Bombyx mori: one gene and its partner. The protein of the gene in region 1 purifies or fractionates together with the protein of each later gene. This does not show direct contact. Links are inferred from orthologs where the notes say so. Each region holds a gene or a part of one and is shown on either strand. Other genes may lie near its edges. The genes, in order: protein SSXT and SWI/SNF-related matrix-associated actin-dependent regulator of chromatin subfamily B member 1-A.

Region 1 (4,368 bases):
CAACGGCTTAATTTACGAATTGTTTAACATGGTCATGCCAGACAGTCTCGTGCTCATCGTACGAGACTTGTCTTAACTTGTCGAGACTTGAGTTGTCAAACCGTTCGTTTCAATATCGAGTCGAGGAAACTCGCTCTCTCCCGCGACATATCTCGGCCGGAGTCCCGTAAGGCTCCGTTCTCTCCCCGCTACTGTTTAGCCTGTTTATTGACGATACACCTCGGTCGCCCGCCCGATTTACACGAGTAGGAAGATGTCGTTCATGCATAGTAAACTCCAAATCGTGGCCACCAATTTAGGATAGTGGTTCCGGAAGTGGCACATTGGTGCATTGATATCAACCACACAAAAATCACAGCCGTGCTCTCCAAAAGGGGTCGTCCTCCCGAGACTACTGCTAGTATCTTATCACCAATTAGGCGCGGTAACTTCATTTCCGCTATTAAAATCCTTGGCCAGCCCATACCGTGGACTTCGAAAGCTAACTACTAAAGCGTCACTTTCGACAGGGGGATGACATTCGGGTCCCACATTAAGTCAGTACGCGACCGACCCGCGTTCTTCTACCCCATGACCTGCAAGCGAAGTAAAAATTGTGCCTTCATAACAAAGTATTACTCTACAAAACTTGCATACGTTCTGTCACGACCTATGCAAGTGTAGTGTTTGCTCACGCGGCCCGTACACACATTAACCCTTTCCATGTAATAAAACCCCGTTTCTTAAGGATAGCCGTCAGAGAACCGTAGCATATGAGGAACGTAGATCTTCACGATGACCTGAATCTAATACCGATTCGTAAGCATCTTACGGAAGCGCCAGAACGCTACTTCGTCAAAGCGGGGCGATCCGATAACCCTCTTATCGTGGCCGCCGCTAATTACTTATCCGACCGCGACTGGGCAACGCAAGGCGCCGTTGCCCGAAATATGTCTTTTCGGATCCCCCGGATTGACTCTCGGTACTTTTAGGACCCTGAAGCATCGGTCACAGAGCTCGTCGATTACGACGATGAGTTCGGGAGCTCACTTACCCGTCCGGGTGTAGCTGGAATAGCCTCTTAATATCCCAGTGAATAGTTAGGAGAGAAAAAAAGACGAAATTGTGAATGAAATGAAATTGATTTTGAGACAAAGGTTAAAGGCTTATTACACTGGCTAAATTTAGTCGACTGAATTCAGAAGCAAATTTAGAAGCTTCTGATTACACTGTTCTAAATTTAGTTACTAAATAAATTGTCACATGGTTTTTTTGTAGAACCCGACAAACTTCATCTTTCGATTTGTTTTCCGTAATAAGCATTTGTGCAATTTTACACAATGATAGTATATAGAATGAATCTTACGACATTAAAGAATAATGTTACTAACTCGTACGGACTCAAAACACGCCCTACCACAAGTAGCTTTTCTAAAAGTCTCAGCAAATTACTCCTATTTAGCCGACAAATTAATTTAATTAGTTTATTTTATTCAATTCTCTTTATACAATTTCAATCAAAAATAAAGATAATTCTTGCGTTATGATTTATTTTATTTTTCAGTGCTTTAGCTTTTGCATCTAACTTTCGTATAGCCTATGTTCCCTCTGCCCCTACTCTGCTATTAAACTCTTTGGTTTGTCCAATTTCTGAACAAATCAAACAAAAAATAAAATCAAGTAAATTAAAAATCTATGAATTTTCTACCTGAAGTGCTATGTAATAGAGGAATAATAGCAATATTTTAAATTACACAATGTCTGTAGCGTTTGCGGCACGAGGAAATCGTCCTCCTTTAAGTCCGGCACAAATACAAAAAATGTTGGATGAAAATGCTCATCTAATACAAACAATACAAGAATACCAAGCAAAAGGGCAAATAATGGAATGTCACCAATATCAGCAAATACTGCACAGGAACTTGGTTTATCTCGCATCTGTAGCTGACGCTAACCAAAATATACAGAGCATTTTACCGGTAACATTTTTTTATTACTTCATTAAGACATACATGGCATGGCCAACCTGGTGTTTAGCGGACTCCTTTAACATAACGAAGGCGTCACCCTTCAAACCGGAATGAACGTGGATTTTTGGACTTTATTTTCAGTGGAGACATTATTTAAAACAATAAAATTTATGTTTGTTTGAAATGGAAAAATTCTGATTAGTTGAGAGAAAGTGACAGAAAGGAATCAAATAAAGCAAAATAATCTATTAATTTTCATTATGTTAAACACTAGAGATGATTTGTGTATCTTGAAATTAGGATAATTAGTCTAGCTTGTTCACAAAGTAGTTCAATTTAGGTGCTGATACAACTTCTGGCAGCCTGTTCCATTCCATGATTATATGGTTTGGTTCATCAAAGGGCTTATCTGATGAGATATTCTACTTAAAAGTTATTTTGTACTGAAAGAATATATAGAATTAGTTGTTTTTTTTACTTTCAGCCTCCTCATCAATTAGCCACCGGAAATGTATCTCAATCTCCACCTATAAATCCCCCAACCAATGCAACTGATGCATCTGCTGGTGGTCAACAAGCCTACAGACAACCTTCAAGTGTTAGTTCAACACCAACAAGACCAACTCAATCATATGCTCAAAGACCTTATGGTCAAGGTCAATATCAAGGCCAGTATCAGAATGCACCTGGAGGGTACCCTCCACAAACGGGATATGGCTCTAATAATCAAGGATATGCTCCACCTAATCCATCCCAACCCCAAGGCTATCCTCCGAACTCTAATTATGGTCCACCAATTACAACAACTCCAAATAACTATCCACCATCTACTCATCCAGGATCTAACTATCCACCTTCTTCGTCTCAACAACCTTATGCACCACCTTCTGGTAGCCCAGTTTCAGCTGGTGCTCCATATCCTGTGCGTGGCTCATCTCAACCACCATACACTGGAAATTCCACATATCCTCCAGGTCAAGCTGGCTCAAATTATTCTAATGTTGGTGTAAGTACTTATAATTCAACTGCTCAACCACCACAACCATACCAGTCACAACCATTTCCAAATACAACTCCAACATCTGCATATAGTTCAACATCAACTTCTCAGCCTAACCGTTCTCCTCAACCCCCAAACAATTATTCTCAACAGAATCCTACAAGTTCCACTTATGGATCACCATCTGCCCAGTCACCAACCTATAATACTAGTCCCCATGGAAGTAGTGTCCTTACAACTGCCTCATCTGGTGGACAAACACCAAGTGGTCCTACTGGACAACAATATCAGGCTCCTTCACAACCATCACCTTATACACCTGTTACACAACCTTATTCAAACCCTTCCTCGCAACCTGGGAGTCCAGCTCCTTCAGTATCCACTGCTCCACCTCCTACTTCCTATGCTCAAACACCTCAAAATTATCCACCAGCTGGAGGTGCGTATCCACCGCATGCATATCAACAGGGATATCCACCAGCACAGTATCCACCCTCCCCTTATCCTTACACACGAGCACCCGCTCCTGGTGCTCCACCTCCTGGTAATCCACAACCGTACCCAGGTTATGGATTCCAACCTCCTGCCCAGCAATGATTTGCATATTTTTAAAACCTTATAATAAATATGCTTAGGTTTAAACCCCAAAACCTATTAAAGTGTACTTCTACATTCTAATAATTTGAAAATAAAATATAGTGAGTGATATTTTGTTTTAATTCAAAAATTTTACATACTACAATAACTAATTCGTTACAGTATCCTACTAAAATGAACAATTGAAATAATACAAGGATCAAAATTGATCAAATAACTTTATCAGCTCTTTGAATTCACTTAATGCAAAAATTTGGGGCTGTTTGATATCAATGATCATCACTATGTTACATCATCATTAATTTAAAGACTTGTGATTTTTGTAACAATTATATTTTTAAATCCATCGCATGCTATCAAGGAACAGTCATTGAATTGGATTAATTAGAATAATTTGTAGATATGTTACAGTACTGAAAGTTATTAATTAGAAAAAATTTTGCATTATCAAAGTTGGTTTTATTGAACTAGGATTTATAACGGCCCACATGAGGGTAAAGTTACCGTCGTTAATGCCAACTCAGCGTAGCCAAGACTACCGCTCAGGACTCATAACAAACCACATTTGAACAAGAACTCTTCTTCAGGAAAATTATGCTGGGAGTTCATATAATGTCATGGTAGGTAGTAAAAAGTAGATGGTAGGATCACCTGAACCAAATATCTCACATTACGTACACCCCATGAAACATAAAAAAACCCAAAGGACCTGAAGTTGCATGTAGGCCTGGAGATTCTAGGCAAACCGAAAGTCATTTGTAGTCGTCGTGGCCTAAAGGATAAGACGTCCGGTGCATTCGTGTGTAGCGATGCACCGGTGTT
Region 2 (4,382 bases), on another chromosome or scaffold:
AGTGGGAACATACACATTATGGATATAAAAATTAAGGAGCGTATTCCTAAATTTATGTAAGGGTTGTGCTAAAAGAACAATATAGAATGAAAACGATAAAACATTAAAAATATTTTAACCAAATTTGCAGGGCGCATTGGAACTGTTCTGTGATCCAAGACAGTTGGACAAGGTCCTCCTGATCTTCAACACTTACTGCAGACCAACAATTTTCATTAAGCATGATTAAAGAACTTTATAAAGAATAGTTATAGTTAAAGATATAAGAAAATGTTATTATATATTTTCAATTGACAGTCGATACAATTCACAGTAAATACAGCCAATCTATTTATAATTTGGTAGACAGCAATTACACATTCTATTATTCAAATACTTTCTGAAATCAAAAATTGAGAATAAACAACCAGAATTGGTAACAAATGCAGTTAAACATACCATTTTTATTCCATGTAAATGTATCCCTGAGTTTTTGACCCTCAATCTCCATGTCCAATCGAATCGGTACAAGCACCTGCTTTTGCGAAGCATTCTCCAGCATTGCAGTCATGTCTGTGTCATCGAAACACAGTGGGAATGTTCTCACCTGAAAAGTATTCATTTTATGCTAGTTTTAATAATGATACTTTAGAACTATAGTATATTACATTAATTCCAATGTTCCATTTCAAAATCTGTTATTTATCTTACGATGTGTCTCTGATTTTGAGATATTCTATCTATCTTATCTATCTATCCTGAATCAGAAGCTAAATTAAATGTGTTGTGTTGACCTTAGAGTGTGGCCCCATGTCAAACATGATTAACTAGATAAACCTAGGAGTCAGAACCTGAAGCCCAACTGGACTTTAAGTTTTGACTTTAACATCCATTTTACCTTCTTATTATGCACCCTACTCCTGCTGATTGGAGTAGCCTGGGGTACAGCATCCAAATGAGAAGAGTTTGGCATGACTGGCAGCCATGATGGAGTGTGTGGCTTCTTGCTTTTGCTCTCACGGGGTGTCGCCAACTCTTGGCTGACGGACACTGCTTTGTATCTATAAATTAATTTAAAGCTGTGTCATAGCTGTAAATAGTTTAATGGACAACTGCTGTTTCATATACAATTCATAGTATTTAAGATTTCCTTGATATGCACACAGCAACTGACCAGAACCGATGGAGACTGGCACAGCTGAAACAGAGTCACAATCCTCAGCAATGAGGGAGCGATGAAGAAGAAAGATATGCACACATTTTGTTTTTTTTTTTATTGTCCTTAAAATAAGACAAACATACAATTCTTCTGATGGTAAGTGGTTAATGTCGTTCGTGGACTTCAATAGTGCCAGGTGCTCACCAAAACTTAAAGGTCTAATATTTCGACTGACTACTTCAGGTAGCTTCACTTATCATCAGATGGATTATGAACTCGTTCACCTGTCTATGCTAACACAGCAATTGTCGGTTTTAACCGCTTTCAATAGTTCACAAAATGTTTATAATGACGTACTTATCATCATTCCCTTCAATAATGTCTTCAACTTCTGACGCCTTCAACAGTGAAACTGAACTGGACAGCACATGAGGACCAAGACCGTTGTCAATTAATCGCTTACGTTCTTCATTGGTGAGGGTACGCCGGCACATGCCAGGGTACTTCTTGTAGAGTGACCCACGGAACAAGCGCAGGTAATTCCCGACCTAAGGCAATAGTTAATTTTTTTGCATTTTTAAGCGGGCATAAGACTAATCAAAATACAAAATCTGGAAATCTCAAGTTAAAACTGCTGTTTTCGACACCACAATATAATTTTGCATTGCTTTTAATTAAAACCACTGTTATTGTTTAATCATTTAAATTTTTTGTCATAACAATTTACAGTAGTTAGAACAGTGTTAATATGCCATGAAAAATGATAATGAAATGAATATAATAAATATGAAATTAGACCTTTTTTTATACAATTCAGAAACACTGAAGAAAATACATCATTGCTCATCTAAAAAAATAAGAGCAGAAACAGCATTGGGTGCCACAACTTGTTTTAATTTGCACTGCAAGCAATCACTGTCGTTTACTTATTCAATATAATTCATAATGGCGCTTTAGAAAGTTCTACTGTAGAATAGAAGATTATAGTGAGAAACTTCACATGAACACTGAATTATGCAACTAGATACAGAAAAAAGATAAAAAGTACAGTATGGTATCTTAAGCCAGTAGTTAAAATGGACTGGTAAACTTTCATGATTTGTATCTCTTTAACTAAAATCTTAGGTTTCTTAGCTAATGATGTTATTGTACATGTATATGTATTTGGGATTTTGTTAAATATGGATCTGTTTACTGGATTACTTACTCGATTATTGCTAAGAAAATGAGTTTTAAAGAATTGTCATTAAAGGGCAACATAATTATTACAGCTCAGTTTTGCCTTCTACAGAAATTCCTTAGTTATTTTATCTCCAAAATTTGTATTCCATTTTCATAAGGGTGATATAGACCTATTGTTCTATTTTTTATCTTATACTTTGATGGACAATAAACTATAGTCTGCTTTACAGTAATGGAAACCAAGCCTCATCGAAATAAGAATAATTCTAAAAGGCAAGTTTGTATAATAGACCAGATTGAGGTTAGGAACGATGTTCTTCGACAAAAGAAAGACTAGCTCCGTTAGTGAATGAAATAATTTTTAATAACGTATCTTTAAAATTATGTTTCGAGTAGTTCGATGTATTTTTAATCAAGAAATGTATGGAACTTACCTCTGAGCCAACACAATAAAAGTCTCCTCCTTCTTCGATTTGAAAACTTATCGGCTTATCGCCGTACGTACGTAAGGCCATTTTTGTAGTTGTGTTGTTCCTTTGATAAAATAATTACATTTACTTCAAGAATTGTAATGTTAATTTGGTAAGGGTAAAATTTATAAATCGTTTCTGTGAATATGTATATATGTATCCAATTATTTTTTTAATTTTATGACCTGGTAACGTACACCTTTAAGTCATATATTATTTTGGAAAGCTACTGGACGTAACTTCTTGGGATTCACCCAAAAGTCCACTGAAAAAATCTCAGTGAATGACCATCATTTTACTGAGATTATATTTCATCCCGTCTCATCTTATTTCCTTTAATTTCATCCCAGTTGATCCCTTTAATATATGTCTCAAATATTAATTTAAATTAATTTGAGACATTCTTGACATCTTCATTTCATTTCATTTCATTTCACTCCATATTATCAGTTTTCATAAAAATAAGAATATAAATTATAATAAGATATAAATTAGAATAAGAAGATTAAAATAAGATAATGACTTAAAGGTCTAGGCTACCAAGTCATAAAATAAAAAAACATTTTATTTGATTTTTTTTAAGAGATTTTATGACCTGGTATCTAAGACCTTTAAGTCATGTCTTATTTTACTTTATATTCTTAATTTTATGAAAAATGATAATATGGAGTGAAATGAAATGAAGATGATTAATTTGAGACATTAATCAACTGGGATGAAATTTAATGAAATGAGATGATATGGGATGAAATACAATCGTAGTAAAATGGTGGTCATTTACTGAGATTTTTTCAATGGACTTTTTGGAGGGACCCGAGAAGTTACGTCCAGCAGCTTTGTTTCATTTTCCCACATTTGTGCACTTTCACAGATATTAAACAGTTAATAAACCACCGTTATTACACATTTAAACCTGAAGAAACACTAAATAGACAAAATAAAACAAATCACACAACTTCACTCCTCGCGTTCCCGCCAAAAAGTCCTATTTTAATTGATTTTTTTTTTTTTAAGAGATTTTATGACCTGGTAACTAAGACCTTTAAGTCATGTCTTATTTTACTTTATAGTCTTAATTTTATGAAAAATGATAATATGGAGTGAAATGAAATGAAGATGATTAATTTGAGACATTAATCAACTGGGATGAATTTAATGAAATGAGATGATATGGGATGAAATATAATCGCAGTAAAATGGTGGTCATTTACTGAGATTTTTTCAGTGGACTTTTTGGAGGAACCCGAGAAGTTACGTCCAGCAGCTTTGTTTCATTTTCCCACATTTGTGCACTTTCACAGATATTAAACAGTTAATAAACCACCGTTATTACACATTTAAACCTGAAGAAACACTAAATAGACAAAATAAAACAAATCACACAACTTCACTCCTCGCGTTCCCGCCAAAAAGTAATTTAGTTCATAGACTATACACAAACACATATTGTTAGCATAGAGTATGATTGTATATAACTAATATAACCTAAATTTTTAGTCTGAAATTAAATGTCGTAGGGGAGTGTCGTCGCAGTCGTTGCGAATTTCAAAAGTGCTCGAAAAAAGAGACCATGTCTTCACGGCAAGGAACAT

What was found.
Region 2: the proteins of protein SSXT (region 1) and SWI/SNF-related matrix-associated actin-dependent regulator of chromatin subfamily B member 1-A purify together in Homo sapiens (affinity purification with mass spectrometry; 9 studies listed by BioGRID and IntAct, counting the BioPlex papers as one, with this or other methods). This does not show direct contact. The link is inferred for Bombyx mori from reciprocal best matches to the Homo sapiens genes SS18 and SMARCB1.

What each region holds. Positions count from the first base shown.
Region 1 is NC_085110.1:12,910,929-12,915,296, forward strand, and holds protein SSXT, read left to right. Parts: upstream 1-1,421; 5' UTR 1,422-1,736; coding exon 1,737-1,958; intron 1,959-2,433; coding exon 2,434-3,546; 3' UTR 3,547-3,655; downstream 3,656-4,368. UniProt on the Homo sapiens protein: Appears to function synergistically with RBM14 as a transcriptional coactivator. Isoform 1 and isoform 2 function in nuclear receptor coactivation. Isoform 1 and isoform 2 function in general transcriptional coactivation.
Region 2 is NC_085122.1:12,050,994-12,055,375, forward strand, and holds the start of SWI/SNF-related matrix-associated actin-dependent regulator of chromatin subfamily B member 1-A, read right to left. Parts: upstream 3,011-4,382; 5' UTR 2,836-3,010; coding exon 2,755-2,835; intron 1,687-2,754; coding exon 1,496-1,686; intron 1,041-1,495; coding exon 878-1,040; intron 587-877; coding exon 439-586; intron 1-438. Other genes in the region: putative tricarboxylate transport protein, mitochondrial, read left to right, coding at 4,361-4,382.